Linked DNA regions of Drosophila melanogaster. The protein of the gene in region 2 interacts with the protein of the main gene of each other region in a pairwise test. Each region holds a gene or a part of one and is shown on either strand. Other genes may lie near its edges. The genes, in order: PSMG1, DCTN3-p24, CG4960 and gdrd.

The links.
Region 1: the proteins of DCTN3-p24 (region 2) and PSMG1 interact in a two-hybrid assay, tested with the Drosophila melanogaster proteins (one large-scale study listed by BioGRID).
Region 3: the proteins of DCTN3-p24 (region 2) and CG4960 interact in a two-hybrid assay, tested with the Drosophila melanogaster proteins (one large-scale study listed by BioGRID).
Region 4: the proteins of DCTN3-p24 (region 2) and gdrd interact in a two-hybrid assay, tested with the Drosophila melanogaster proteins (one large-scale study listed by BioGRID).

The regions. Positions count from the first base shown.
Region 1 is NT_033777.3:5,789,588-5,798,114, forward strand, and holds PSMG1 (proteasome assembly chaperone 1), read right to left. Parts: upstream 4,731-8,527; 5' UTR 4,636-4,730; coding exon 4,535-4,635; intron 4,482-4,534; coding exon 4,054-4,481; intron 3,990-4,053; coding exon 3,811-3,989; 3' UTR 3,736-3,810; downstream 1-3,735. Other genes in the region: Rpn5 (regulatory particle non-ATPase 5), read left to right, coding at 189-1,237, 1,297-1,453, 1,516-1,818; Hpf1 (histone PARylation factor 1), read left to right, coding at 2,386-3,735; CG10979 (uncharacterized protein), read left to right, coding at 5,298-5,453, 5,562-5,708, 5,791-6,253, 6,324-6,471, 6,842-8,527.
Region 2 is NT_033778.4:23,057,666-23,066,560, forward strand, and holds DCTN3-p24 (dynactin 3, p24 subunit), read right to left. Parts: upstream 4,929-8,895; 5' UTR 4,846-4,928; coding exon 4,267-4,845; 3' UTR 3,755-4,266; downstream 1-3,754. Other genes in the region: Fatp2 (fatty acid transport protein 2), read left to right, coding at 1,390-1,628, 1,687-2,331, 2,391-2,592, 2,651-3,592; CG44253 (uncharacterized protein), read left to right, coding at 717-800, 879-1,031; CG9890 (uncharacterized protein), read right to left, coding at 5,144-6,255, 6,310-6,556; PPO3 (prophenoloxidase 3), read left to right, coding at 7,164-8,150, 8,215-8,310, 8,372-8,895.
Region 3 is NT_033777.3:25,783,341-25,791,823, forward strand, and holds CG4960 (uncharacterized protein), read right to left. Parts: upstream 3,959-8,483; 5' UTR 3,883-3,958; coding exon 3,358-3,882; 3' UTR 2,989-3,357; downstream 1-2,988. Other genes in the region: CG31380 (uncharacterized protein), read right to left, coding at 4,771-4,982, 5,107-6,112; CG31093 (uncharacterized protein), read right to left, coding at 6,610-7,001, 7,070-7,115.
Region 4 is NT_037436.4:14,689,441-14,692,462, reverse strand, and holds gdrd (goddard), read right to left. Parts: upstream 1,117-3,022; 5' UTR 1,035-1,116; coding exon 693-1,034; 3' UTR 501-692; downstream 1-500.

The DNA.
Region 1 (8,527 bases), on a different chromosome or scaffold from region 2:
TCCAATAACTTTAAGAAAAGGAGCAGACAAACCAACCAGGTTTGAAGCAAGACGACATTTATCATTTCCTATCGTGAAAAACAGTTTTAGTAGATTCTGCAGCAGGGTAAAGGCGAAATATAGGTAGGTTGGAAAACTGCCTCGTCATATCGGCAAAAATTGAAGTAAACATTTTTTTGTAGAACACAATGGACACCTATTTGTTTGATGGCGGCCGCATCACCAAGATGGAGGTGGACTACGAGCCGGCGTGCAACGAGAAAATCCCCCTGGCTAAGGAGCTGGCCAAGAAAAACCCCGACGCCTTTCACGAAGCCATCGAGATGATGCTACAACTGGAGAAGCAGACGCGCCTGGGCGCCGACATGGTTTCTTGCTCACGAGTCCTGGTTGCCATCTGTCAGATCTGCTTTGACGCGTCCAACTGGAACGCCCTCAACGAGTACGTGTCTCTGCTGGTACGCCGTCGCTCCCAGCTGAAGCAGGCTGTGGTCAAGATGATCCAGGAGTGCGTCACGTACGTGGACAAGACGCCCGACAAAGAGACTAAGCTGAAGCTTATCGACACACTTCGCTCGGTTACCGAGGGCAAGATTTACGTTGAGATCGAGCGGGCCCGTCTTACTAAGATTCTGGCGGACATTAAGGAAGCCGATGGCGATGTCGCCGGAGCTGCCACTGTCATGGAGGAGCTTCAAGTGGAGACTTATGGCTCGATGGATAAGCGCGAGAAGGTGGAGCTCATCCTGGAGCAGATGCGCCTTTGTCTGTTGAAGGAGGATTACGTATCCACGCAGATCATTGCCAAGAAGATCAGTATAAAGTTCTTTGACGATCCGGCACAGCATGATCTGAAGCTGAAGTTCTACTATCTAATGATTCAGTTGAACAGAGACACCTCCTTCCTGAATACTTCGCGCCATTATCAGGCCATAGCGGAGCCTCCGCGCAAGAAGACTGGCCTTACACCCGTAGACTCTGCCGCGTCCACGGATGAGCAAAAAAAGAAGGATGACGATAAGAAAAAGAAGGAGGAAGATGACAAGGATAAGAAGCCAGAGGTTGCTACAGAGGCTGAGGTCGAAATTGAACTTACCGAGGAGCAGAAGAAGGAACTGACGGAAAAGCTGGTTTGTGCCGTGCTTTATTGCGTTTTAGCTCCCTTCGACAACGAACAGAGCGACATGATGGCACATCTTTCGAAGAACAAGAAGCTGGAGGAAGTGCCCGCCTATAAGTAAGTACATTTGATTTGAAGTACATTTCGAGCATGTTATTTTATTTTCGATTTAAAAGGGAAATTCTGCGCTTGTTCATGTCAAAGGAGCTGATCAACTTCGACACATTTAATGCAGACTTTGGGCTCGTGTTGGCTGAAAACGAGATGTTCAAGGATAGCACCAAGCATGGCAAGAAATGTATCACCGAGCTTAAGGATCGTCTGATAGAGCATGTAGGTTTTTTTTGATTTAAATCAATACTAATAATAACTAATTGCTACTGGTTATTTCATAGAACATTCGCATCATTGCCATGTATTACTCCCGCCTGCATTTGGCGCGCATGAGTGAGCTGCTGAACCTGCCCACCAGCCGCTGCGAGGAGTATCTTTCTAAACTGGCCAACACCGACACCATCCGCGTAAAGATCGACCGTCCCGCCGGCATCATTTACTTCACCCAAAAAAAGAGCGCCTCCGACATCCTGAACAACTGGGCCACCGACGTCAACCAGCTGATGTCCCTGGTCAACAAGACCTGCCACTTGATTAACAAGGAAGAGTGCGTCTACTCCGTCATGTGTGCTGTCGAGGATTAATCCTGTTCCATAGGTGCTTAGAATAGTGTTTCCCCCTTGAAGCGCCTATCCACACGCAACTGTAATTGTACTAACCCCTAACCATCAACATTTCGATTCTCTTCGTGAAGTTTGTATTCATTGAATGAACTACAATTATTAAATGAATCCCCCCATTAAATCTCCATGCAATTCAGTGCAGTTTTTGCCAGTCACTGGTGATTTCCGGCGGTATTTTACAACACTTTTGGGGGTGTGTGCAGAGTGCTTCTTCTTATCCAGGGAAGTCAACATGGGCGTAGATCTAAAAAAATGACTAAAATTGAATTTAAGTGTCCAATAAAAGTATACAAGTTTATGAAAAGTTTATTAGCTTTTCACCAAGGGGAAATGTCTGGGCTGTAGTATATAGTGTAGTATTTTCTATTACCCAGCTGTCATGGTAAAGTATTTTTCTCAAATGGGTCAGAATCATCCCCTTGCAACTTTTAACGGCGTCACTGGATGCTTGTTATTCTTGTTAATTGTGCCATAGCAAACCTCACATTTTGCAAATTTGTTTGAAATCGGTATTGTTGTTACTTAAGAATGCCAAAAGAAGATTGCAAATACTGGGATAAGTGCTATCAGCAGAATCCCGCACATTTGTCCAAATACAATCATCCGAAAAAGCAACAAGAACACGAAGTGGACGGCGCAGAAGGCAAAAAAGTGGCGCCAAAAAGAAGTGCATCCTCGCAGTCTGGTGAACAGAAAAAGGAAGAACAAACGGAGCCGGTGAACAAGGATAAGTCCAATACGAGTGCTTCAAGTACGGAGATGGTGAACAAGGATACAGCCAAGGGCAGTTATGAAGCCGAAACCGAGGAGCTTCACAAAGAGGCCATGAGCAACATATCCGGAAAGAACTACATGGAGATCTTGGAGAAGCGCATCCGCCTGTCCGTGCAGAAGGAGTACGACAATCTCTGCGAGTCCAACGAGTTCATTCGACACAAGTTCCTTGTCGAAATGCCGCCGGACTTCTACGAATTTTGGAAGTTTGTGGGAAGCTTAAAAATTGATCCTGCGAAGCCCAAGGATGCTGGCTTGGAGCACCTAGACAAAGTATTTCAACTGCAGTTGGTGGGTCCCTTTGAGTTCCTAGCCGGTAAATTTCACGGCGCCAAACTAGGCGAACCGGGAGACTACCTGCGCCACTGGCGTTTTTACTACGATCCACCAGAATTTCAGACGATCTTCGTGCGCCGAGGCACTGGGATTCACTACGGTTACTGGCGCGATGTGCCGCAGGACAAGGAAAATCTCTTAATAGCCCGCAACGACTCTGCGAAAGGCTGCCAGTTCCAATTCGTCGCTGGAAATGCCTTCGATGCTTTCCTCTACTACCTGGAGCACGATTTTGCGGCCACTCCGTTCTCATGCGGGCAGTTGGCGGGGACCAAAAAGGCGGTGGCAAAATACCTGAGTGACAATTCCCTAGAACTGGCCCAGCTGGACCGACTGCAGCGGGAGCGCAACAAGCGTGTTGTGGCCAAGACATTCCACCGAGCCGGCATTGTTGTGCCCTTTGACCAGAAGACAGAAGTGGGATACCGCCCGCTGGCTGTCAGCGATTCCGAACTCAAGAAGATGCTGGCAATGCTTGAGCGGAAGGACGTCGATAATGGAGCCGCCAAGCAGGCGGTTCTGGAGAAGCTGCAGCCGGTGGCCAACGCAGCCAACATAGCAGTTGATGAATCGGACTTTGGAAGCGCCCTGGAACTAGGCATCGATATGTTCTGCAGTGGGCACAAGGAGCTGCACATGCTTGCCTCATCGTTGCTGGTACCCGCCTATTCAATGCTTTCCCGTCCACAGTTCATAGCCATCGCCAAGGCGCACATGGAGCAACGTAGTCGGGAGGACAACCTCAGCATTTTTGATGTACTTAAGTAGTTCGATTTTTATTCCGCAACCGTATCATTTTTACAAGCATTAAAACTAGGAAGTTGAGCACAGCCAAAAGTAGTTTCACATGTACAAATAAGAGCTCTCCTTCCGCGGAGGGATGTAGCTCGAGCTGCAGGCAACGCCCGCGGCTTTAAGTACCTTGATCACTGGCTGCGCAGCTGTGGCGTCGAGGGGCAGCTTGTCGGTGTAAATAACGAAAGAGGTAACAGGCAATTCCATCTGATCCCGCCAACTGGCAACTGCAAAAAAAGGTGAACAGATGGTGAGGTGATTCAACCTTCTCCTTTTCCACTCATCACTCACCGCCTGCTGCAACTCCAGCGATAAAGTTGGGAGCCTCTAGTTCAGTGATATCCTTCTGGTTGGCACCTATGCCGCGGACAACGGCAATGTGATCCCGGTAGAGCTGGATGTCCTCGCTTTTGAACTCGACCTTTGGCTTAAGCGTCAGAGTGATCACTTTCTTGGCAAGCTTCACGTACGGCAGTAGGAGCTCCGCTACCTCGCCGCTACTGGTCAGGTCCTCGTTGATTATGGCCAGCAACTGTTTGGACGAATGACTCCAGTGCAGGGTCGAGTTATTGGCAGGAATGGCGCACACACGCTTTGCATCCTTTTCCAGCAGAGAAGAGGCGAAGTGAGTGACGTTGACGCCCTCAATGACCACCAGCATCTCGCTCTCCACAGGGGCAGCTTCCCCATCGCAATCATCATCAAACTTCAGCTGCAGCCTGCGAATCCAAGAAATTAGGACTACCTACGTAAATAACATTAGATCACGCACTTCTCCACCGGCTTAAGGTTCTCCAATTCATCCTCGTCGCAGTCGTCCCAGAAGGCACGCGACGAGGGTATATTTAGTTCTCCAAATCCTGGACAGCTCATCGTGTCTGTTTTGATTTAATAAAAAAGGTGAAACTAATATGATGAGCCTAATTCCGGTCACTATGTTTTTTTCAAGTCATCAGTGTGACCATGTGCTGAACGCCAAAATAAACGTTTTTCTATTTGAATAAATTACATTTGCAGGTAATATTTAGGAACTTTTAGCGCTTTTTCTGAACTTATTAGGGCTTGGCATGTCAATTAAAGATTTAACAATAAGCTAATTCCAAAATTATGTATTGACAATATTGTTTGGGGGTTTTGAGAATTGATGGAAGTTACGCCCACTGAGCAAGGGAGAAATCAAACTTCAATTGTTAGTTCTAGTCGAATATTAAAACAAATGTGGTTCCAGCTTATTGGTTTTGCCTGATTAAATATTTTCGACTCTTCCGTTTTTTTTTAAGTTGAAACAAAAAATTCCGCACAGGTTAATAAAAATACCAGATCAGCATCGCAGCAGAAGCAGCGCTCAAGCACGGTCATACTGAATACAAAAAATGCAAGATGCAGGTCCATATTCGAATTGGAAAACCACTTTGATCGCTAATTAGAAACAGATTAAGAACCTCACGTCGGTGAAAATATTCCGTAGGGCAGCGCGCTAGGACAGGTCTCAAATTTTTTGGTTAGCAGTGGGAGCAAGCGCGCAAACCAGCGCCATGAGAAAGCGAAGCTCACGTTGTAACTCTGACACTTTCAAGGAGGAGCAGATGGACCACAACGGTGACGACATCAGCCTGCTGCAGCGGCCGCTGCGCACCGCCCACACGGGATTCGAGGAGGCCCGTCGGGCCTATGAGGATGGCACCAGCGAGGTGAGTCTCATCTGAGTGGAGTACGTGACTCAATTGTGGCCCGCAATGGCGGAGGCTCCTGCGCCCCAGTTTGGTGGATCCCCGGATAACAATCAGATTCTCCCACAGGTGCGCCAGCTGCTCAGTCTGGAGTGCAGCCTGATCTACGAGTGCAAGGTGTGCCGCAACATGTTTCGCAGCCTGGCCAATTTCATCAGCCACAAACGCGTCTTTTGCTGCGTCAGCGCTCGTTCGGCAAATGGCAGCGGATACACAGTGAGTGGGCAGTAAAGACAACCCCATTACAAGGTCTCTAATACCATAGGATGTCAACTAATCGCTGTTAATTCTCCCCCAGGATCAGAATTCCACTATGATCATACAAACGGGTGGTGGTCCGTCCCCGCAGGACATTGAACATATGCTACGCAGCAGAAGCACGGGATGCTCGCCTGTTCCCCGCGACGTGCGTCCCTTACGAGGAGGAGGTGGCGGCGGCATAAGGGACCTGAGTGGTGTTATAGAGCGTCTGCGACGGGAAAAGGCTACATCACAGGCCAAGTGCAGCTCGCCCACTGTTCTGCAGCTGGAGTCTGTGCCCAACTCTAGCCAGGCTGTTTATCAGACCATCAAAGTGGACCACGACGACAGCATAAGGACAGAACTGGACGAGGTGCATCGCATGCTTAATCCATCTGAAACCATTGTGGGACCCGACGGCAAGGCCTTGGCAACCGTTAAGCTGGAAAACAATGCAGGCAGCGACTCCGGCGAGCAGTCCATCAGCGACGAAACGGAGCCGAGTATTTTCTGCGAGATCTGTACGACTACCTAACCGAATAGGCCTTGAATACAATTAGTGATAGCTGTGTTTCCTAATCTCGTTCACAGGCAATCTGACGTTTCAGACGCACAAAACGCTTGAGGTGCACATTCAGAAGCATCACTCATCATCGGCGTTTGTGTTTCAGTGCCCAGCCTGTTCGCTGACCTTTCTGCAGGCCGCTGCTGTTATTCGTCATTTGTCGAAGGATCACAAGTAAGTTCAACTTAACCCGACCATAGAATTTTTATATTTTATTATTATAAAATATATGATATTATTCTACTTCAAGGGGACAGGTTCCTTTTTTCTTTCACATGGTCCATTTATATCTGCTTACTGCATACTGCATTCCTTATACATATATGTATATGTCAAAAATCATATTGTTTCCAAGGAAACAATCTAATTTACTTTCTATTTATGTGAATTTTTTAAGCCCTGAATCATAAAAACAGAACAACTAATAATCATAAATAAAAATATAACAGATACATTTTTATAGGGATAGTGGTTTTTCTAAAAATTATACATGCAATGTGTGAACTAATATTAATGTTGGTCCTTTTGCAATTTAATTTTTCAGGAAGCCAACTCGACGTATTCGAATGATGCGGAACACTATCCTCAAGCGACGCATTCAGCAAGGAGATGTGCAGCCGAAGGGCCCCTGCCGGGAGTTGAAGCGCCTACAGCTCTCCGACGACGTGGTGGGCTATGTCCCTGAGCCACTAGATGCCAGCGGTGAGCACCGTAAGATCATGTCTTTGTGTATCTATTGCGAAAAATCATTCGAGCGTCGCGCTGCCTTGTCAACACACCTGCTTAATTGTCGGGCGAAGCAGGAGGCGCTGGCTAAGCCTGCTCCTTCTGTCAAAAAACTGAAGATGAAGAGCAATGATTCCAGTGTGGATGCAGCTGATGAGGATCCAACGACGTCCATAGACCTGCCGAAAAAAAAACCGATCAAAACCGAGGAAATTACTCTGAATGAGATGTTTGCCGATCTACCAGAGCCGAACGACTCATTTGCACCTGGTCTGCACACAGTGTCATTGGACCAGCTTAACTTAGGCAATGTAAGTGACTCTGCTAGTGACGAAGCCTCTAACACCGACGACGAGCACGAGCTAACACCAGGGGCCGGACCTGAATCCAATGCCGATGCAGAAGATGTCAAGGGTAAGGCCAAGAAGAAACGTAACGTCCCAGTTGAGAAGCAGCTGCGATGTCGCTGTAAGATCTGTCACAAGCAGTTCAATGCCCTCGGGAACCTACGTCGTCACATATCCATGTTTCATTACCGCGCACGCCGTTTTGGCTGTAACCTGTGTGAATATCGCGCATTTAGGCGCTACGATATTGTAAATCATTTGGGATTTACTCATAAGATAGAAGGAGACCGAGACCAGCTGACGGAGCAATATGTGTCCACCCACGAGTGCGAGTACTCTCGAGACGATGTCGACGGAGATATAATTTTGCTGGATAAGGAGGAGGAGCTTACAGTGATGGAGAAGGATGCTAAACCCCCTATCAAAACCTACGAAAGACGCTTGAAGCATCTCAAAACCCTAACAGAATCTGTAGGTGAAGTGCAACCCAAATCTCCAACAGCCGCGATAAAAGAAGAACCCGGACAGGAGCCTCTGGAGGGTACTCCCACGCCCAGCAAAAAGCGTCGCAAGTCTCGTACCCAAATCTCACCCGAATCTGGAGAACATTCCCAGGAGAAGCGTCCCATCCGTAAGCGAGTTAAAGCGGTTAACAAGGACTTCGTCTACGACTTGGTCAGTTTCAAACCGGATGGATCATGCCAGCAACCTCCGGGTGCGCAAGCCGTAGAATCCATGCGGGCCAAACTGCGTCGTCCCGCGCCGGTGGGCAACGATGAAAGTAAGGCCAAACAGTACGAAGCATACATTACGGAAGAGAAAAAGCATCTTGTGTTCGGCATCACACGGCGCATAATGCTGGAACTGGTGAGCCAGGGTCTGGCGGTGTCTGCTACTCTGCCAGAATTGCCCTCAGAGCGACCGCAGATACGACCGCGTCTTATCTCGCACTCGCGCAGCGAAAGCGGATCGCAGCAAAAGCAAAATATTGTAGAAACTACAGTGGATCCTGCTCCGGAAACCGAGAGTTTCATCGAGAAGATTGCGAAGCGAACGGCAGCTGCTGGCAAGGATAACGCTGTCATCAGCAACCTGTGGAACAAGGTCAACACTGCGATTGCCCAGCAGGAGAAGCAGCAGAAGAAGGAACAGGAGCC
Region 2 (8,895 bases):
CACGAGCGTGGTCAACATATGTACATTTTTTTTGGGGTTTCGCGCTTGATTCGCTTTGTTGTTCCATGGGTGGATCCCCCGGCCCTGTCCCGTCGCTCCCCTCGCTGCCAAACTAAACCTTATCTGACGACAAAATAATACTCACGTTGCCATCAAAAACAAACATCGACAAAAACCGCTGAAAACCGAAACCAGTTTACTTTTGGTCCGCCGATTTAACCGGGACTAGGTCTGGGTCTCGAATATTATGCGATCGGTCATCTGTGCGGATAGAGCTCATAATCAGGTTTTATATAAAAGACTAGTGCAGCCTAAAGTAAGTCTTTCGGCGGAGTTGGTCAGAAACTATTTGAAAGTCAAGATCAGGGTGACTTCGAATGGTTTTCAATGGAGGTTATGGAAATAAATTGCTTTTGAAGTGGGGAAACAGGTTAAAAGATCTGATTTTAAGCTAAGTATGTTTTTCTTGTGGTGCACATCATCAATAGTTTTAAGTGCAAAAGATCATTTAATAAAACCTAAGGTCGTATTAACGAAGTTTCGTCACAGAACTAAATGAAATGAAATCTGATCATGTTCAAATTCAATGTTACATTACTTCTGCGAACCAACTGTCAGTTTAACAAAAAATAGACAAAACCCATAAACAAACAGGCAGACAGCCGAACCATTGAAGCGCCAAGGGTCAAAAGAGTTGAGCTTGAGATTTGAATACCATGATGACGGGCACCGACGATAGTCCGTTGGTGGAGGAGGGCGGTCCGAAAGCCAACCAGTATCGACTGACCATTTGGCACAAGGTAATCTGAAGACCACGGACACACACAGAGAGATCATAGAACGTACTATACAATATATCTATTGCACCACATAATTAGGTTGTGTTCTTTATGCTGGGACTCATCTCGGCGCTGACCATCTGCGTTCTGGTCAGATTGTCGAACCGATTGGCCTCCGATGCCGAAAAGAAGGCCTTGATGCACTTCCGAGAACTTTCATCCGGCCGGAATGGTCACCGCTTTGGCCACTAGATGTTGTTGTTTGTCCACATACCACTCTATATATTTTCTGTGTGTTTGCTTTTCACTGTTTTGGTTTGTTTGTTTGCAAATTGCTTAAATAAAGTGCTAATTGATTGATGCGGGTTGGGTTATGGAACTACGGTGGCTAGAGTGCAAATTAAACAACAAGCAATTAGCTGAAGATCAGGAAAAGCTTTGAATCAACTTCATCTGGAGGTGTCAGACCCGGGGGGTTATTCTATTTGCTATCTAAGACCCGTATCGCCTATGTGGGCTTACGCGGCGTATGAGTGATGCAGTCGTTGTTCTCCTTCTCGCAGTTGGCAATCTAAACACATGCATCTTTACTAAAATTGTGACTTTGTAGGTCTCCATTTCCATGAACGAACCGGAAAACCTGAAACCACCTGCCAAATCCAACTTCCGCCGTTATCTTCAGTGGATCCTAGCACCTGTCCTGACCGCCATTTCCGGTCTGATCCTCTACTACCAAGGGCCTTGGTATGGAGTGGCCACGCTATATGCCGCATTGATATCCATACTGCTGGTGCGTCCAGGATGGCGCTGGTTCTACATTGCAGCTGTTACCACACCCAGGGATACTGTGTAAGTAACAAGGATTGGGAAGTTAGTTCCAGAGTTTTTTTAAAACTGTATTCCTTAGAGCCCTCTTTGCCTACATCCGTGTGCTGCTCTTCATTAAGCGCCAGGAGCGCAAGAACCTGAACATCGGAGACATCTTTGAGTCAAATGTGGCCCGGCAGCCGGATAAACTGGCCATTGTCAGTGAGTCCCAGCAGTGGACCTTCCGCCAGGTGAACGAGCATTCGAACCGGGTGGCCAACGTGTTCCACAGTCACGGCTACAAAAAGGGCGACGTGGTGGGTCTGCTGCTCGAGAATCGCGCCGAATTTGTAGCCACCTGGCTTGGTCTCTCCAAGATCGGCGTGATCACGCCGCTGATTAACACAAACCTCCGTGGAGCCTCACTGCAGCACAGCATTACCGTGGGCCAGTGCACGGCGCTCATTTACGGCGCCAGTTTCCGGTCGGCCGTGATGGATATCGCCAAGGATCTGCCCGCCCACGTCGGACTGTATCAGTTCAACGACGAGTCCAACCAGGAGGTGGTGGCTTCCGAGGGCCTTAGCCAGGGACTGGCCCAGCAGTTGAACGGCCTTCTGGAGACGGCGGCCAAGGATAAGGTGGCCGCCGGCGCTTCTCGGGCGGATCATCACGACAAGTTGGTCTACATCTACACGTCGGGCACCACGGGCTTGCCCAAGGCAGCCGTCATCACGCATTCTCGGTAAGATTTGCCACTGGCTGCAGTAAGTTTCTCCTTTACAACGATTCCTCTACTTTCAGGTACTTTTTCATAGCTGCCGGCATTCACTACACGCTTGGCTTCAAGGATCAGGATGTGTTCTATACTCCCTTGCCCCTATATCACACCGCTGGCGGAGTGATGAGCATGGGCCAGGCCTTACTCTTCGGCTCCACCGTGGTCATAAGGAAGAAATTCAGCGCCTCCGGTTACTTTTCAGACTGCGCCCGCTTCCAATGCACGGTAACTGGCTATTGGATCATCCAATATGTTGTATTAATGTGCCTTATTTTTCTGCCAGGTGGGACAGTACATTGGGGAGATGGCGCGCTACATCCTGGCCACGCCATCGGCTCCTCACGATCGGAACCACCAAGTGCGAATGGTGTTCGGAAATGGACTGCGTCCACAGATTTGGCCGCAGTTCGTGGAGCGCTTCGGGATTCGAAAAGTGGGCGAGTTCTACGGAGCCACTGAGGGCAATGCCAACATCATGAACAATGACAGCACAGTGGGCGCCATTGGATTCATATCCCGCATACTGCCGCAGATCTACCCAATATCGATCATAAAAGCAGATCCACATACGGGAGAGCCTTTGAGGAACAGCCAAGGACTGTGTGAGAGATGCGAGGCGGATGAGCCAGGCGTCTTCGTTGGAAAGATTGTGCGGGGTAATCCCTGCCGTGAGTTCCTCGGCTACGTTGACCAGAAGGCCTCCTCCAAGAAGGTGGTCCACGATGTCTTCTCCAAGGGCGACATGGCCTTCATCTCGGGCGATCTGCTGGTGGCCGATGAGCGGGGCTATCTGTACTTCAAAGATCGGACCGGCGACACTTTCCGCTGGAAGGGTGAGAATGTCTCCACCAGCGAGGTGGAGGCGCAGTTGAGTAATCTGGCTGGCTACAAGGATGTGATTGTGTACGGCGTAAGCATACCCAACACTGAGGGCAGAGCAGGAATGGCAGCCATCTACGATCCCACTCGGGAGGTCAACGTCAGCCAGCTGGGCGTGGAACTGGCCAAATCCCTGCCCAACTACGCCAGGCCGCAGTTTCTCAGATTCCTGCGCAAAATCGACCTGACGGGCACCTTCAAGTTGCGCAAGGTGGAGCTTCAGCAGCAGGGCTTCAATCCGGAGATCATCGACGATGAACTCTTCTACGCCCAACCGGATGGCGTGTATGCTCCACTCACCCCATCCGTATACGAGAGGATAGTTAGAAACGAGCTGCGATTCTAGGAGCGCCGGACTTTGTTCTTGGGAAGAAGAAAAGTCAAGACTGTGCCTTGTATGTTGGTGAAGAGGATATCCTTTGGATTCGGCTTGTGGTGCGCCAACTACTTTTAATTCTGGCTAAGTTTCTTATTGTCCGGACAATATAAACTTTAGCATTGGAAATTTACTGTTGAAAGAGCGTTTCCGCGGGTAAATTATTATTTTGTAACTATTTCCTTCTACAATTCCTACATACATAAGTGTCACATCGTATTGTATACATTGTATAGATAATAAAAATAAAATTCAGCCAATGATAAATCCATATTGTGCTCTATTATGTGATTATAGCATTTTCCTTCTGTAAGACAGGATTTTGATTGGTTTTCATTAGATTTGTAATTTAGTTTATTGTGCTTAGTTAAATAGTTTTTAAAAATGAAACTTACAATTGAAAGAGCATCATTAGCCACTTTACGTTGGAGTAGTTAGAAAATCTAATATCCCGGCTTCCTTAAACAGTTCCAATCAAATCGGGATGGCTTTAGCTACGATTACACTTTTCAATAGAACCTAGGTTACATCCATTGCTTGAGCAACTGATGCCTTCAGCTTAAGTGGAACCAGATTTTCAGGTGAACGGATTTGGAAACGGGGTCGTATAAAATACTTTCAGCAGTCTTTGGATCTATATCCGCTCAATCCTTGGGCGGCACATCCTTGCTCAACTCTGCACGCTTCCTCTGCTCCATGCGCTCCTCTACCTGGTCCAAGCGCTCGCTCATGGCATCCAGGGAGCTCAGCAGTCCCGCCTGGATCTCGCCATATCGCTTCATGGCCAGGACCAGACTCTCCTCGATAAGTTCGCTCTGCTGCGCGTACTCCCCGTTGTTCTGCGTTATGCCCTTTAGCTGCTCCAGACACTCGGCGGGAATGCTGCGGAAGTACTCCGCGCCCAGGGCCGGTTCCAGCTGCTTAATCCTCTCCAGCTGCTCGGCCTGCGTGTGCAGCTCGGGGGCCACGGCTTGCAGGTACACCTCCTTGGAGCGCACCTGCTGGTGCTCCTCCAGGAAGTTGGGGTCCAGGTACTTCTCCAGCTCGTCAGATCTCTTCACGCACTGCTGCAGTGCAGCACTTCCTGTGGTTGCTTCGCCCAGGATGGCGTGTGCCGAGCACAGGGCGTCGACCACGCCCTCGCCCACCTCAGAGTCCTGGACCGGACCCAGGACTCGTGTCAGGGCATCGATGCGCTTCTCCAGAATGTCCAGTGCCTCCATTTTTCGCTGAATTTCTCTTTATTTTGTTCGTTTTGATGGGAATGATGTCAGTCTGCAAAACAATCGATGTCCAACGAAAAGGTGGCAACGTTAGCTTGGTGGCAAGGTTCTTGTACTCGCTAAGCAGAACGAATTAACCCTTATGCGGACTAAAAAATATGGTATTTAAATAAAATATTTAGCTCCTCTGCATAAAGTTTTTGGTGCATACGTATCTATAAATATAGTACACACTTAAATTCCATTGCTATTTACTTAGTTTCTTTTAAACGTAAACTGTACAATACAAAAATCTCAGTTACAACAGCTTAAAATTCTCGAGGGACAACCGCTCCGCATCCTTGTTGATCTGCGCCAGACTATCCTCGGAGATGATGCGCACCGTATCGACGTCCGGGTCATCGCCTCCGGAATCATCCAGCACACACAGCAGACCATCGTTCTCGATGTACGGGAAGAAGAACTCGGGCTTGTCCCAGCTCTCCTTATCGCCGATTCCGTGGTGCGACTCTTGTGCCATGTGCTCCACGAGCAGCTCCTCCTCGTCGAACTGCAGATCGCAGGTCACGCAGCGCAGCAGGCACATTTGGCGGCGCAGGTAGTTGACCACCTTGACGCGTTGGTAGAAGTTCAGAGAGCTGGTGGCCTTCTCGAAATCCAAGCGATGAACCTCGTGCATGTGCTTCTTGAGGGCGGTGAAGTTGTCGCCGAGATGGTGGCAAAACAGGCACTTAATGGAGCTAGGCTCACCATCTGCCGCCCAATCCGACCAGTCCGAATCGTGTTCGCCATCCGAATCAGGGCGAGCGAAGTGCTTGTCGAAGTCCACGCTGCCGGTTTCAGGATCAGCAACTGTGGACACGGATGCCGTTTCCCGTCTTCGCTTTTGGAGGTGCTGTTTCCGGGGCGTGGGGGCCGTTGGTACACGATTGTAGTTGATAAGGAAGTACTTGTCGTACTCCCTTCGGTTCGGATTGATCCGCTTGTGGCCCTTCTTGCGCATGTGTTCCTTGAGCGTGGGCCGATCCCTGAAGATCTTCTCGCAGTAGAGGCACATTAACCGATTCAAGTTCTCCTCCAGGTGATCCAGCAGTTCGTCCACATACACCAGCTTCTCGGGCTTGCCGACCAACAGAAAGTGCTTGTCAAACAGATGGTCCAGATAGTCCGCCCTCAATCCCTTGATGATGGCCCTGCAGAAAAGGCACTCCTTGGAGAAGGTGCGGTCGGTTAGCTCGAACTGATGTCGCTCCAGGGCTTCACTTAGGCGCTTCTCCTTCAACCTTCGCCGCAGCTCGTAGTCCTGGGGCAGGATGTCACACAGCAGGTAGTACTTTTCGTTCTTGGCGTACTTGCCATCGGGCAGCTGATCCAGGAACATTGTGGTGCAATATTGCTCGAATTCGTGGGCTAAAATGGGTAACAATTATTAAATTTTCAGGGTAGGGTTGCTGATTCTCTCACTGTGAAACTCCTTTTCCCAGTACTGGAGGTAGTCCTCCAGAAGCGCTATATCCTCCACATCGGCGATGACCAGTCGGTGCTCCATATACAAATGCGCCAGGCAGTCATCTTTATCTGACGGAAATATGTACACCTTGTCGCATTTCAGGCACTTGATGGCCGTGTTCTTGGAGGGCTTGAGTTTCGAACTGCCAGTGATCTCCTCCAGCGAGGAATCCCCTCCTGAAACAGCCACCTCGTGCTCCATTTGTTTACGTTCTCCTGGTGCTCCACGAATAAGTGTGACCGCAGGTGCTTAGCGGCAAAATACTGTTTGCGAGATAAGCTTAATTATGACGTACACTGGAAACAATTGAAAATTTAATGAATTTAATTTAATGCACAAAAAAAATTAAATAAATACTTACAACTGTCTTATGAAGACTAAATAATCAAAAAATGATATTCAGTATTTTCGATGTAGACAACACGTACTGGAAATGTTAATATCCTTATAGGATATTATACGATTCAAATATTTGTAACTTATCTGTGAATTAAAATTCTGAAACTTACAAATACATTGTTCGTTAAGTTTTCAACAGACTATGATGAATCAGCAGCATCTTATCGGTTAAAAATGTTTTTTTCGGAACTCTGTGATTCAATGCTTATACTATGGCAATAGTTAAAAATTCTTAAGTTAGTAATATTTTAGATTGTTTTTTGGGGTTGACGAACTTGAGATGTTCGCCATGTAACCATAGGGCATTTCGGCTGCTGGGTATAAAAGGAGCTGATAGTTGGGTGGGGACGTGCAGTTGAGAATCAGCAACTGCTCGCTAAAGGTCCTCCTAATCGCGAATCCATCGAAAATGGCCGACAAGAAGAATCTGCTCCTTCTGTTCGATCATCCCACGGAGCCCGTGTTCATGGACAAGGGTGGCAATGGCACCGTCTTCGACGTGCCCGACTCCTACGTGACCGATCGCTACAATCAGATGTGCAAGAAGGTCCAGCGGCGCGTGAGCAGCGCGTCCGAGAAGAACGTTCAAGTCAAGGAGATCGCCATACCGGATCTCAGTTGCTCCATGAGACTGGGCCGCTCGGAGCAGTTCTCGATCTTCCTGAAGTCCCACCGCAAGATGGCCAGCCACCTGATCGAGATCTTCACCAAAATGCAGACCGTGGATGAGCTGCAGAGCGTGGCGGTGTACGCCAGGGATCGCGTCAATCCGGTGCTCTTCAACTACGCCTTGTCGGTGGCCCTGCTCCACCGTCCGGACACCAAGGACCTCGAACTGCCCGCCTTTGCGCAGACCTTCCCGGATCGCTTTATCGACTCGAAGATGCTTCGCAGCATGCGCGAGGAGTCCTTTGTGGTGGAGCGCTCCGCCGCCCGCCTGCCCGTCGTCAGTTCGGTCAAGTACACCGCCTCCGATCTCGATGTGGAGCACCGGCTGTGGTACTTCCGCGAGGACCTGGGCGTCAACCTGCACCACTGGCACTGGCATCTGGTCTATCCCATAGAGGCGCCCGACCGCAGCATCGTGGACAAGGACCGTCGTGGCGAGCTGTTCTACTATATGCACCAGCAGATCATTGCCCGCTACAATGCCGAGCGGCTGAGCAACCACATGGCCCGGGTGCAGCCGTTCAACAACCTGGACGAACCAATTGCCGAGGGCTACTTCCCCAAGATGGACTCGCTGGTGGCCAGTAGGGCGTATCCTCCGCGCTTCGATAACACCCGGCTGAGCGATGTGGACCGGCCTAACAACCAGTTGAGGGTTGGCATCGATGATATGAAGCGCTGGCGCGAACGCATCTACGAGGCCATCCATCAGGGCTACGTTTTGGATGTGAGTGGGGAGCTCTCCGATTCCAGGAGTACATGCATCCAACAACTAATTGGTTATTTTTTAGACGAACAATGAAAAGATCGTGCTGGATGACGCTAAGGGCATCGACATCCTGGGCAACATCATCGAGGCTTCCGATCTGACGCCCAACAGTACGCTGGTAAGGAATCTAAGTGATAATCTGTAGATCACCTTTCCATGTATATTATTTCCATCTGCAGTACGGCGACTTCCACAACATGGGGCACATACTGATTGCCTACTCACACGATCCGACCAACAAGCACCTGGAGTACGCGGGCGTGATGGGCGACGCCTCCACCGCGATGCGCGATCCGATCTTCTACAAGTGGCACGCCTTCATCGACAATATGTTCCAGGAGCACAAACGTCTGCTTTCTCCCTATGAGAAGCAAGAGCTCAGCTTTCCGGACGTTCGCGTCGAGAGCATCCAGGTGGAGAGCCAGGGTCAGGTCAACAGGCTGACCACCTTCTGGCAGGAGTCCGATGTGGACATGTCCCGTGGCCTTGATTTTGTGCCGCGCGGCCATGTCCTCGCTCGGTTCACCCATCTGCAGCACCACGAATTCAGCTACACCATCAAGGTGGAGAACTCCAGCGAGGCCACGCGGTATGGCTACGTGCGCATCTTCCTGGCGCCCAAGCTGGATGATCGCAATGCACCCATGCTGCTGGAGCAACAGCGCCTGATGATGGTGGAGCTGGACAAGTTCGTGGTTACCAT
Region 3 (8,483 bases), on a different chromosome or scaffold from region 2:
TTTCACATTTTCTAATTATATCCTGCAGATATCTGGCAGCAATTAAAATCCATTTTAAATAGAGCAATTGGATTCAGTAGCCATTTATTTAGTAAATATCAAATTAATCTAAATTCCACTCGATTGACAAAATGTAGACTTACTTACATGTTATATCGAAGTGTCCTTGCTGGTTACACAACTTTCCTGGCCTGCAGGCTAATAAGTTCTCAATAACTGTCTGGAAAATGGATTTAGCTCGAGACTTGGACGCACACCGTTAATGCAATTAGGACATTAACCCCTTGGTGCCAAGATGATGGATCGGGGCCGTTGGCTGGTCGTTCCCTGTATCGTTGCTCAACTAATCCGTTTTAATTCTTACGCCACGTCCTTTGAACTTTGACACGCCCAGAGACACGGACACAGCCGAAGACAGCTATCCATGTCAAACAGCTGCAGCGGCGCCTAAAAGAATGCTTTGTTTGTCTTTCATTATGTGGGCTTTGTTGGGGCGTGGCAGTGTCTTTGTTTCGGCTTCAGCTTTCAGCTTCCAGCACTGAATAAATTACATTTTTGCTCGAAATGTATGTCGCATTCCGTGTGTCATTGACGCCGCCCTTTCCCTCAAGAGGTCACAACTTTTGACTTTGTCCGGCATGGGAAAATCACTTATTGCTTCAACAATATTTGATTATAATTAAAATGATAATTCGATTTTCATGGCAATTAAACTTCATAGGCGTGTTTGGGTAGTATTAAATTTCTATAATATACTTTAACATCTTTGAAGAAATCAAATGGTTCTAAACGTAAATCTTAATTAGAAATGCGTCTTTTACTATATATACTGGTATTGATATTCGAAGCATTGGAAATTCGATTTATTGATTTCGCAGCGTGTTGTTGTTCGCACTTAATGAAATCATTTGGGGCCAGAAAAACACAACACGCAACATCAAGCATACGCCATGTGGCAAAATTCATTGACTTCTGGCCACCCTTGGCCGAAATGAAAATGTTTAGTCAAGTGTTGCCTGACCTCCTGCTCACACACACACTTACGCAGAGCACATGCTCAACTGAGCAGCAGAAAATACATGGGAAAACAAGCGCTTTTCCCATTTTCCCCTGGAGGCAGCTATTTTTAAAGCTTGGCTCTTGGACTCATGGAAATTTCATTTGCCTGCTCAGGTTCCTTTCGGCCGGATCGGCCTAACTGCGGTAATTACTCACACTTGACCCGAAGGGTTGTCCGGCCGGGCGAAATCAACTCGATGGCTGAGCTGGATGCAGATAAATTGAAATTTTCCGGTCTTGCTGTACAGAGCGGCAGGGGGAAGTTGTAAGCTAAATATGAATTACAATGTTCCAAGCGGTTGAAATTGCAACTGATGAAGTTATGCAATTTGTGGAAAAATATTTGCCACTGTCCTTTTTTCTGACTTTCTGTGTGTGGTATCGAGTTGATTGGATTAAAAGCTACTTCCCCGAAATTCGAAAAATCAGTTTGCTAATACCAAATAAGTTGTTTTCCGCCCAACCGGTGACAAATAAATCCTGACCTGAGTTTGGCTGCTGGGTTATTAAGTAAATGTGGTATTGGCACAAGTTCGACTTCACATAAATCCACTTGTTATAGTTCACTAAACATACGCACACACGCACAAATACGTCCAGAAATAAACAATACTTTATTTACAATGTAATGACATATAAAATGGCTGCCTTTGCCATTTCTTGTGCTTTTTCTTCGTCTGTGTTCCAGTTTTTTCAGGTTTATTTGCCAGCGGTCAGTTGCTTAATTTCTTCGCTTTTATTTGCCACAATTTCAGCATTGCAGCATTGCCACATGAATCTGGGTGTGTGTTTATGTGTATTTGTGTGCGAGGTGGGCGTGGCCACGCCTCCTCCAGCCCACAGATTCATTTCGGTGCTTGCTGTGCTCTTGCCTTTCTTATTTATTTTCGTAATAACAATAAATTACATTTTTCTTCGGGTTTTCCCCTCATGCGAGTGTGTGTGTGTGTGTGCTCATTTGCTAAGTTGTTTTATGTGGCTGTCGCCTGTTTGTGGCTTTTTGACATTATTTGGATTAAGAAAATAAATCCTGGCCATGGCTGGACAGCAATTTTAATATTTTCACTCCACCCCTCCAGCGGCAAGCAAACTTTGATTTTCATTTTGTTTCTTTTTTCCCCAGTTGTGCTCAGGGCAAACCAAAGTTTTAATCTATGGAATGGCTAGAATCAAATTTTGGCTCTCTGGCATAGAAAGTTTTTCAGCCTGAACTTGTCATTTCAGCAAAAATACAATTAAACAAGGTAAATACAAAATTCCCACTCTGCCAGTCAGGATAATGCAATCGTACGTAAAAATGATATCACATAAAGCTCATGGGTTAAACGTAAAAACAGTTTCTATAAAAAATTCAGCATGTTTACATGCTGGCATTTTAAAGTGAGGAAAATGCAACAAGCTCGTATTTTCATTTAAAAAAAACATTACACATTGCAAAATTTAACTAAAGGCAATAGTGAAAAAACTATGCTATCCAGTTAGTACTCACGGTTCCATTAAATATAAACCATATTTGCACCTTTTTCAAGTGAGTATTCATGTAAGCGAATAAAATATTGAAAGCAATTTAAGTGATAAGTTCAAAATATGCAAAACAATATTTATTAAAAATTATTATAACGCAATGTAAAATATTTCAAATGTTATTGATGCATTCTTTCGAGTTGCATAACTTGCCATTTTTCCAGCATGTTTATTATTCTGTAAATATATTTGACAAACATGCACTGGCACATAAAAAAAAGCTGAAATTGACTCGAGTAAGAACCGGAAAAAGAACAATGAGCAGCGACAAAATATGTGTGGCATCGGGATGCTTTTTACGCGCAACATTTATTTCGCATTCGAGGACGTCTCTCAGTGAGATATCAAACTCATACACACAAGGAGGTACACACACACAAGCACACCTACAAAATGGCACACAATCGGTAAATGGCTTGCATTAGGCATAGACTTTCTAGACTTTTATTCAGATTTTCCCCATACATTATCACTGTGAAACTTCCAAAATATATAATTTCTTTTCGAATGTCACTTAAAGGATGGAAGTGCCGTTCTGAGCCGGAATACCTCTTCGAGTTTAAATTCGAGTCCACAAAAGCAGCCGCGCAAGTGGTGAGATTTCATTTTTACCTTTAACCAGGATAGATTTTTTAGGATTCAGCGACCACTGGTGCTCCTTCCAACAACAAAATGAATACATCATTAAAATTTATTGCGAAATGTATCCGATACGAGGTGAGGTTGTTTTGCAGACCGTAAACCAAATGCATGGAGTTAACGCAAATGTTTGTCCTAGTCGTCCTTTGGCACTCCAGCGGACATCATGTCGACGGGATCGTGAAGCTTCAGGAAGTATGGTCGGACCAGCTTGTGGTAGATAAGGGTAGAACCATTCCGTTCGGTGGGCAGCATGCACCAGATGAGGAAAGTACACTTCAACAGCCAGTAGAAGGGAATCATCGAAGTTAGCAGACTTGGATAGAATTCAATCACAGTGAAGATGCCAAAAGTGACCCAGTAGATCAGCCACCTGATGTCGTCCTGCTTCGTACTGGACTCGATGCCATGGATGGAAATGTAAGCAGGGTAAAGAACCCCAATGATGTTGCACAATAGCTGAGCGCACCAGCCAAAGACCAGGTAGAAAGCGCAAAACAAAATACTACCCACGAAAATATTCACCCTCTCCACACCGGTCTTCTCTTCCAGGCTATCAAAGGCTTTGGTCCACGGCTTGGACGCATCGCGCAGTGATCGGTTAATGTCCTGCTTGTAGCCGTTGAAGAACCGCTGCACCTGACTTACCTGGGCGGCCATTTTGCACAAATGAGAATTTAATGTATGTATCTAATTGTCAATCAAAATTGTGTAACGCCGCCGGCTTTCTAAATGCCAGTCGATTTTTTTTTTGTTTGCATTACAAAAACGACCTTAAATTAAGGTAAAAGCCGCAAAATGGTATCTTGTATAGAAAATTTAAAAATTTATATTTTTGAATCAGCTCCGTTCTTTTTTTTCTTATAGAAATTACCTCTGTTTTTCCTCTTCCTCCATTAAGTATAATAAACGGTTGCCTAGTTTTTGGCGCAGGCCGGGCTAAATGGCATAGCTTAGCCTAATTGCACTCAGCTTTAATGCAGTTGTGAATAAAGCAACGCCAGCGGCAGACACGTCATAATTTGGTGATTTTCCAACAGCTTGGCCCACCATTTCGCGCCAAAGTTTTAATTAAGCAAAGGCCAGGAGCACGCGCAGAATACCCCATTTAGTCCGACTTTTCGTTTATCCACATCAAAATTCACATTTTCCATTTCTTTTCAGACTCATTTTCTGCGGCAGACACGCACTCACAGCTTTGCATGGCTTCCATTCATTCACTCATTCAAAATGCTAAACAATTCAAAAAAATGTGTGTAACTATCCTCGCCCTTCCATTCGTCGCCTCCGACCTTCCATTTTTCCATTTCGCAGCAGCTAAATGTGTTGCGCTTTTGTCTAGGCCAACTGAATGTATTTTCGTTTCGGCCTTTTTCTCCTTATATTTTTCCACGAGTACCAACTCGGTTCATAATTCAAAAGCCTCTGACGGCTGGCTTTAAAATGCCTGCGGCTGTGGCTGCCATGTTTTATGTTTATTAGCTCGTCTAATTGAAATGTCTAATGGGGGAGTTTATGAAAAAAGCGGAAAATCCGCTTCCACCAGCTTCAGAGGCCTTCGTATTGCCACGGATCCAGGAGCCCTTCCAGCTCGAAATGCTTCACCATTTGCTTAATAGAGTCCTGGATGCCAGGGTTGAGATACAGCCGCCTTTTCATATCCATTCCACGCGGCTGATCCGAAAGTAGGGCGGCGAAATCCGCATCAGTTTCATCGGTGTTTAGCAGCACAGGTAGCAGCAGCAGGCCACAATGAACGGCTTAAGGAATATAGATTATCACTTTATTTATTTCAAAAAAAAAAAAAAGTACGAAAGACTTGGAAGTATATATATTTTGTTTGCATATTCATTTGCTAATCTCTTAGAAATTAAGTTTACCCACCGTAAAATCGTTTTTGCTCTGACTCCAGGTGAAACTGCTTTCGACTGGGCAACCTTTGACCTTTGAAGCCAAGTCTCTGCAGCTCCCCCACGAAGACATCGTGATAGACACCTCTCATCTTCATTTGCAGCTCACTCCGCACTTGCTCCACAGCCGACGTGTTGAGCAGATGATGGATGTCCAGGGTGGGCGAACCCCAGAAGGCGTACTGAAAGTCAATCAGAAGGACATCGCTCGGCACGCCCGCCTCGTATTTGAACATCATGTTGTTTGTCCACAAGTCGCCGTGGGTAAGGACATTAATGTGCGTTTGCTCTTGCTTAAAACAGCGGAGTCCTAGTCCCATATAATAGGGAGCCAGTTCGTCTAATAGTTTTGCGTGGTGTTCATAACCCGCCTGAGTTTTAAGGTAATTGGCACAGGACTTGAGGCAGCCCAGAAAGTAGGCACTAAAGCTTTCTGTATACCTATTGAAGAAGCCTTTATCGTATTCAGTGAGAGAGAAGTTATTTTCCAAAAGATTGTTCTCCAAAACCGCTGATGCTGCCTGCATTTTGGCCAACTTCCTAAGAACCAAACTCACATGCTGCTCATCCAATCTCTGAAGTCTCGGGGCCATCACAAATCCCTTGTAGCTCAGATCTTCCATTATGAGTGCTCCTCTTTGACGATCGATGTGTAGTATTTTAGGACATAGTTGCTCGCCGGCTAGTTCCTGCAATTTTGGTAACACTTGCTCGTAAATCTCCAGTTCCCGATTGTAAATATCATATGGGGCTTTCTTCATTTTCGTCTCCGCGTCTTCATACTCTAGAACAGTCTTGGCAATCAGATGTTCCTCGACTATGCTGCTGTACACAAGGTGTATGCGTGTTAGGATAGCACCATAGTTTTCTCCTTTCCCTAAAGCGGGATTTATAACCATCGATTCCACTCGAAGTTCGTTGTTCTGGTAATACCGACGCAGTGCCGCTTCCAGGTATTCAGCTGTGAGCCAAGCTGCCATGACTGCCCTAATCAGACTAAAATTGTTAAACTTAGCTACACAGATTAGCAGCAGCCACTGATAACTCAAAAGCTTTCAGTTTACAACTGAATAATAATTGCATGTCTTATCGCAATATAAGCACACTTTCTGTGACTGCGATTACAGTCACTTTGTTTATATTTTCGGTTTAAAAAAAAAAAACTCATAAATGCAAACAGATGTTTGCTTGGAAAACACAGATGGGGATTGATTTAGTTATAGCCATACCGCTTTGAAAAAGCCCAGTTCAATGGCAAGTGCCAGAAAGCCAATCTCGAGGTTATCCATTAACAAATTAGTATCGAAACTTTAGCTATTCCGTTAAAAGAACATACCTAAACTAATCTCACGAGTTTCCCAACTTGTTTTGCCTAACTTTATTGCCGTACGAAATATATGCCAGTGTATATATATGTAAAAAACCGGGCTAACATCACCCGTCCCATCAGCTGGTCTAATCGCATGCAAAACCCCTTTCACTCAGTTGGCCCGAACCCTTCCAGTTCGCCGGCTGCCAGTGTCACAGTTCGGGGCTTAGGCACCTCCGGTCCGGATTCAAGTTCCGGCTTCGATTCCGGCTCCGACCCTGGTGGTCTGCTGCAACTGTTTGCAGTGCGACGAATGGCGCACTCATAGACGTAGTTGGCCAGAAACACCGCAGGAGGAGCAGCTAAGGTTGCTTCAACCTCCGGACCTGGTGCTCCCATTGTAGCTACTGGAATGTCGACTGCAGACGTTGCTCGTTTTCCCATTGATGTTCCATTTCTAGCCAGAGATAACGGTCGATTGCAACTGTTTGTGCTGGTGGGTGGCTTCTGCTGCCACATGTGGCCTGTACCCCGCAGACAGTTGGCCTCGATCACTATAGCTACTCGGATTAGTTAGGGTTTGAGTTGGGTTTGTGGAGGGTTAATTAAAGTGCTCAAGACCACTTACCGAAAGAGATGCCAAGCAGGGAGCACATAAGAAATATGCAGTTCATATTGTAAATTGTTGCCAGTTGAAGAGCTCACACTGTTTTGTCGATGTATTTACAGATTTTTGGTTCAAGGACTACTTTCATCCAAATTAGGTTTACAGAATCGTTCTATACTTAGACCATTTTTGTGCATTGCCTTGGTAAAGTTTCTTGGCCAAACTTTCGACACTTGTTTTTGTTGATGTTTTTATCTTCTGAGGCTGCATCTTCTGCTGTATCTGGAATCCATTCAAATTGACGCATTGACAATTGTTTTACCAATTTTATCTCGCTTGTTTTTCGACAGTTGGCCAAAAAGTTTGTTGCCTCCATTCCCCAGCAACGTTTTGACAACTGCTACGGCTGCTGCTAGTGGCATTGGCATTGTTGCTGCATTTGTTGCAGATTAAAGTTGCCGCTACCGTCTTTTTATTCAATTTTCCTGCACTTTTCCCTTCTTTGCATAGCCAGAGAGATAGTTTATCAAAACATTTTCAAGTTGCAGTGCGGCTGCAAAAACAAAAGCACCCAAGACATCATCGATTTTCTCGAGTGGAATGCGCCTCGATGCGAAGTGGGGTTGTGGCTACAAGGAAAACAACTCAATCTCAATGCATGGCACTTAAGCAGCTGAAGGAGCAGTGGCAACAGTGGCAGCCACTTGGTTGCAAGGTGCAGATCCTGCCACGACAGCAGAATGCAATTTCTGGAGGAACGCCAAAAAGGGAGGCAGACGTCGCTGCTTGTCGAAGGGATTATAATCGAGTTTTAAAGACATTTTATGATCCCTTTCCGTTATTTACGAGTTCGTATGCGTCATAAAAGTCAGTTCTAGGACAAATTTACAAATGTAGAACTTAAATCTCTCTAAATCTAAATATTGCGTACGGTGAAAAACTTTAACAAAAAACAATTTACCCATTCATAGCCATATCACCTCTCATTTAATTCACTAAAAAGAAACCAAAGCCAGAAAGTTTGCTCATTTATAATTACGGAAATACAGTGCACTTGACAGCTGATTTTGATAATAAATACTCATACAATAAATGAGCATACATAAGCAAGAAAATATATACTTTCAGATCGAGGGGAGACAAATTAAATAGATAAGTTTGAATTTGAAATAAATTGAATTTTCAATAATTCTTCCCTCCAAACAATTGATATTTACTAAGACGTCTTGTACCCATGTGATTAATACATTTTTATTATTAGATCTTTGCCATAAACAAATTCATGTGTTTAATTTGATTTAGTGATGCTGTCAAGTCCCGAGAGTTTTCACAAACACCCCGTGAATATATTGCAGCTTCGCACAACTTCTCTGCCGCCCCTCGTGCACAAGCCAGTTCCGGAGCTGTGGCACCTCGAAGGACCTTATCCCATCCG
Region 4 (3,022 bases), on a different chromosome or scaffold from region 2:
TTAATGCCGCTGCAACGGCATTTTATGGCAAATTATGTTTGGCTTCATTTCCACTGATAAGTATCGGACTTCAGCTTTCTGTCGAAATTTATCGCATATAATACGTTTTGCCAATATCTCGAGCGGCAGACGACGAACTTGAAGAATGTCCTTTCTTATTTATTGCTTTTAACATATTTGTTTGGCTCCAAGGCAATTCGTCTTTCTATGTGAATGTGGCGAAAGGCAAATGCAAATTTCAGTCTCAAATTTTCCGACTTTGCAAAGTTTTCGACAAAACAAAAGGCCCCCTGACAATATGCAGCTGCTCGAAATTGCTTGGGGTAACATTTTTGAAGGGCGGTCAATGAAAAGTTTATTATGCGCCGAAAAGAAGTCCACAAAGTTTGTGGACCGAATGAAAGCAAGTTTGGCAATTGTGTGTGGAGGGCCACTAATAAATTGCAAATATCGTTGAAAATAGTTTAGATTATGGCGATAAGGGCAGTATACAATGTATTGCTTTTGCTCATTGCTCAGTTTATTATATGCGCTTAGTTTTCGAATCCTTGGCTTGTGTTAATGCATAATTTTTTAACAATTAACTCGGGTCTGTTTGTGATTTGTTAAATGGGCTTCAATAACAATAACAATAAATAAATACAATAAATTTATACATTTTTGAAAATGAGAAATATAAAAATGTTCTTATATCATTGGTTGGTGGTTTCGTTTTCTTGTTCGACGTTTTCAAATCGCATTGGATTATCGCCTCCAGCCAACTGGTCGGCGTTTTCGCCAACAGGTACGGATGGAATTCGAGCATGGAGCTTCCTCTTCATCTGGACCACGGCAGAGTTGGCCATGCTAATGCGATTAATGATTCGGTTCAGACGCTCCTGAATGTTCGAGAATACCTGCTCGGAGAAGCGAGCGTCCTCAGAGGTATCGAGAGGCCCCACTGCAGTTGCTTCGTCACTATTGTTTTGGCTACCTTCTGTATAGGGCTCGTAGCTTTCAAGGTCTTGGAATATATCAGATCCGTCGTCCGACATTTTGACAAAAAAAATATATTTCAGAAATTTCAATAGTTATTCAGGAGCTGTGAACTAGAACAGACTTAAGTGCAAACAGATCAAAGACAGAATTTATACTGACAACAAAATCGAGAGCAGCATGTTTGATATAGTAACTCTATACAATAAACAATAGTATTAATCCAAACTCCATAAATATGAGTAGATGGTCACAACGTTGAAACATTTTTAATTAAGCGACACATCAAACTATATTTTTTATTTAAAACCAACGTTTTAATTATCTTCAAAATTAAGAATAGACGGATTTAAAACCTCTTAAGAAATCGCAACCCACTTGGCATGTAATCATGTGTGAAATGTGTTCAGCAGGGTCATAAAATCAGAAATCAATTAAAGCAATTTAAGAGCGAGGAGAGCAAACGATACGGATATGGATGTCGAGAGTCGAAAGTTGCCAGGGCACAAGGCAAATAAATCTCTGAAACGACTCTGCCAAAAAGGACGCACTTTGGGTGGCAGTGAGGATAAAAGTTTCCCCACAGCTGAACGAGGCGAACGAAATCAAAGTCTATAACTTAACGACTGCAATGAGAATGATGCTGATGACGATGTCGACGATGTGAAACGCCCTCAAGGTCCACCCCATTCCGTCCACCCGTTCCACCCACAGCCCGCCACCATTCGAGGAAAATCCGTACGCAGAAAAAGAGAGACAAAAGCCGAAAAGGGAGGAAATGCAGCATTCATTCTCTCGCCATTTTCCCCTTAACCCTCCCCTTTTCCCATGGCTCTTTGCCATCATTCTTTCAGTGAGTTTTTCGCCTCCATGTGCTAAATATTTGCCAGCCATTTCTTTATTTTTCTCTGGCCTTTGTCGCCAAACTGGATTCCCATCTTGATACCCATCGCTCTGCCACATCGTAATAAAGCAATAAATCTGCTGAGGAACTGCTCCTCATAAATTCCGTTACGCATAAAAACACTTACAAATGACTTTTTGTTCAATGGAATAAATGGCATGGCACTACACACATACTAAGATGTATATATGGAGCTGTAGCTGCGAATGCATGTTCATGACTGCACCAAGTTAAATTCACACACTTGGCTTTCTATATCTTCCGGGATTCGCTGAATCCTCTATTGATAATGCCATTTGGCATTTGGCTTGTGGCAAGGCTTTGACTTTTGCGACGTCTTTCACTTTATGGGCTTTCTATTGAAAACTCGTTGCGCTGCTAAGTAGGCAACATTTTTCAGCTCGCTCTAGTTTGTTCGCTTGTATCTTCGGGCGTAATAAACTACGGGATAAATTAAGTTTTTGTAAATAAGTGTAGGAATCTGGTGAAAAAATGTTGTAAAGAAATCCTGTCACTGAAGTTAAATTACAAATTAAAAATAAAATGTACTCGGAATAAATAAATAGTTGATTAAGAAATATAAGAAAGCCATACGTTTAATATTTAATATTTACAATACCCAACTCATTATATGTTATAACAGTTAAAGCTCTGTTTTTTATATTTCACAGAATCATAACATAAAACTCGTTACGAGTTTTATCGACATTTTTTTACGCACATATTTCACATTAAATATTTAAAATAACAGCTCGCGATCAATCTAAATTAGTAGAGATGTACATATGAAAAAACCCTCTAAATCCCTACCCTTGTTTATGCCAAGTGGTCTCATGCTGTTGCCTAATCTGCTGTCCAAATCACTCTTGCAACATGTTGCACGACCAACTAATTGATGATATAATTGAATGTTCAGAGACCATTTCCCAGTTCGTTAGGCTCTGGCTCTCCACAAACCATATCCCATATCAGGAACAACATCTGTCAGACCCATCACAATAAATAACCATATAGTTATAGTTGAGTTTCCTGCATTAAAACGCCATCAAGCTGGAGATTAATGTGAAAAGGTCACGCCCAGCTCCTTGGGAGGTGAAAGCCATTCACTTCAGCGAGACATTGACATTTGCTACTGGCTTTTCC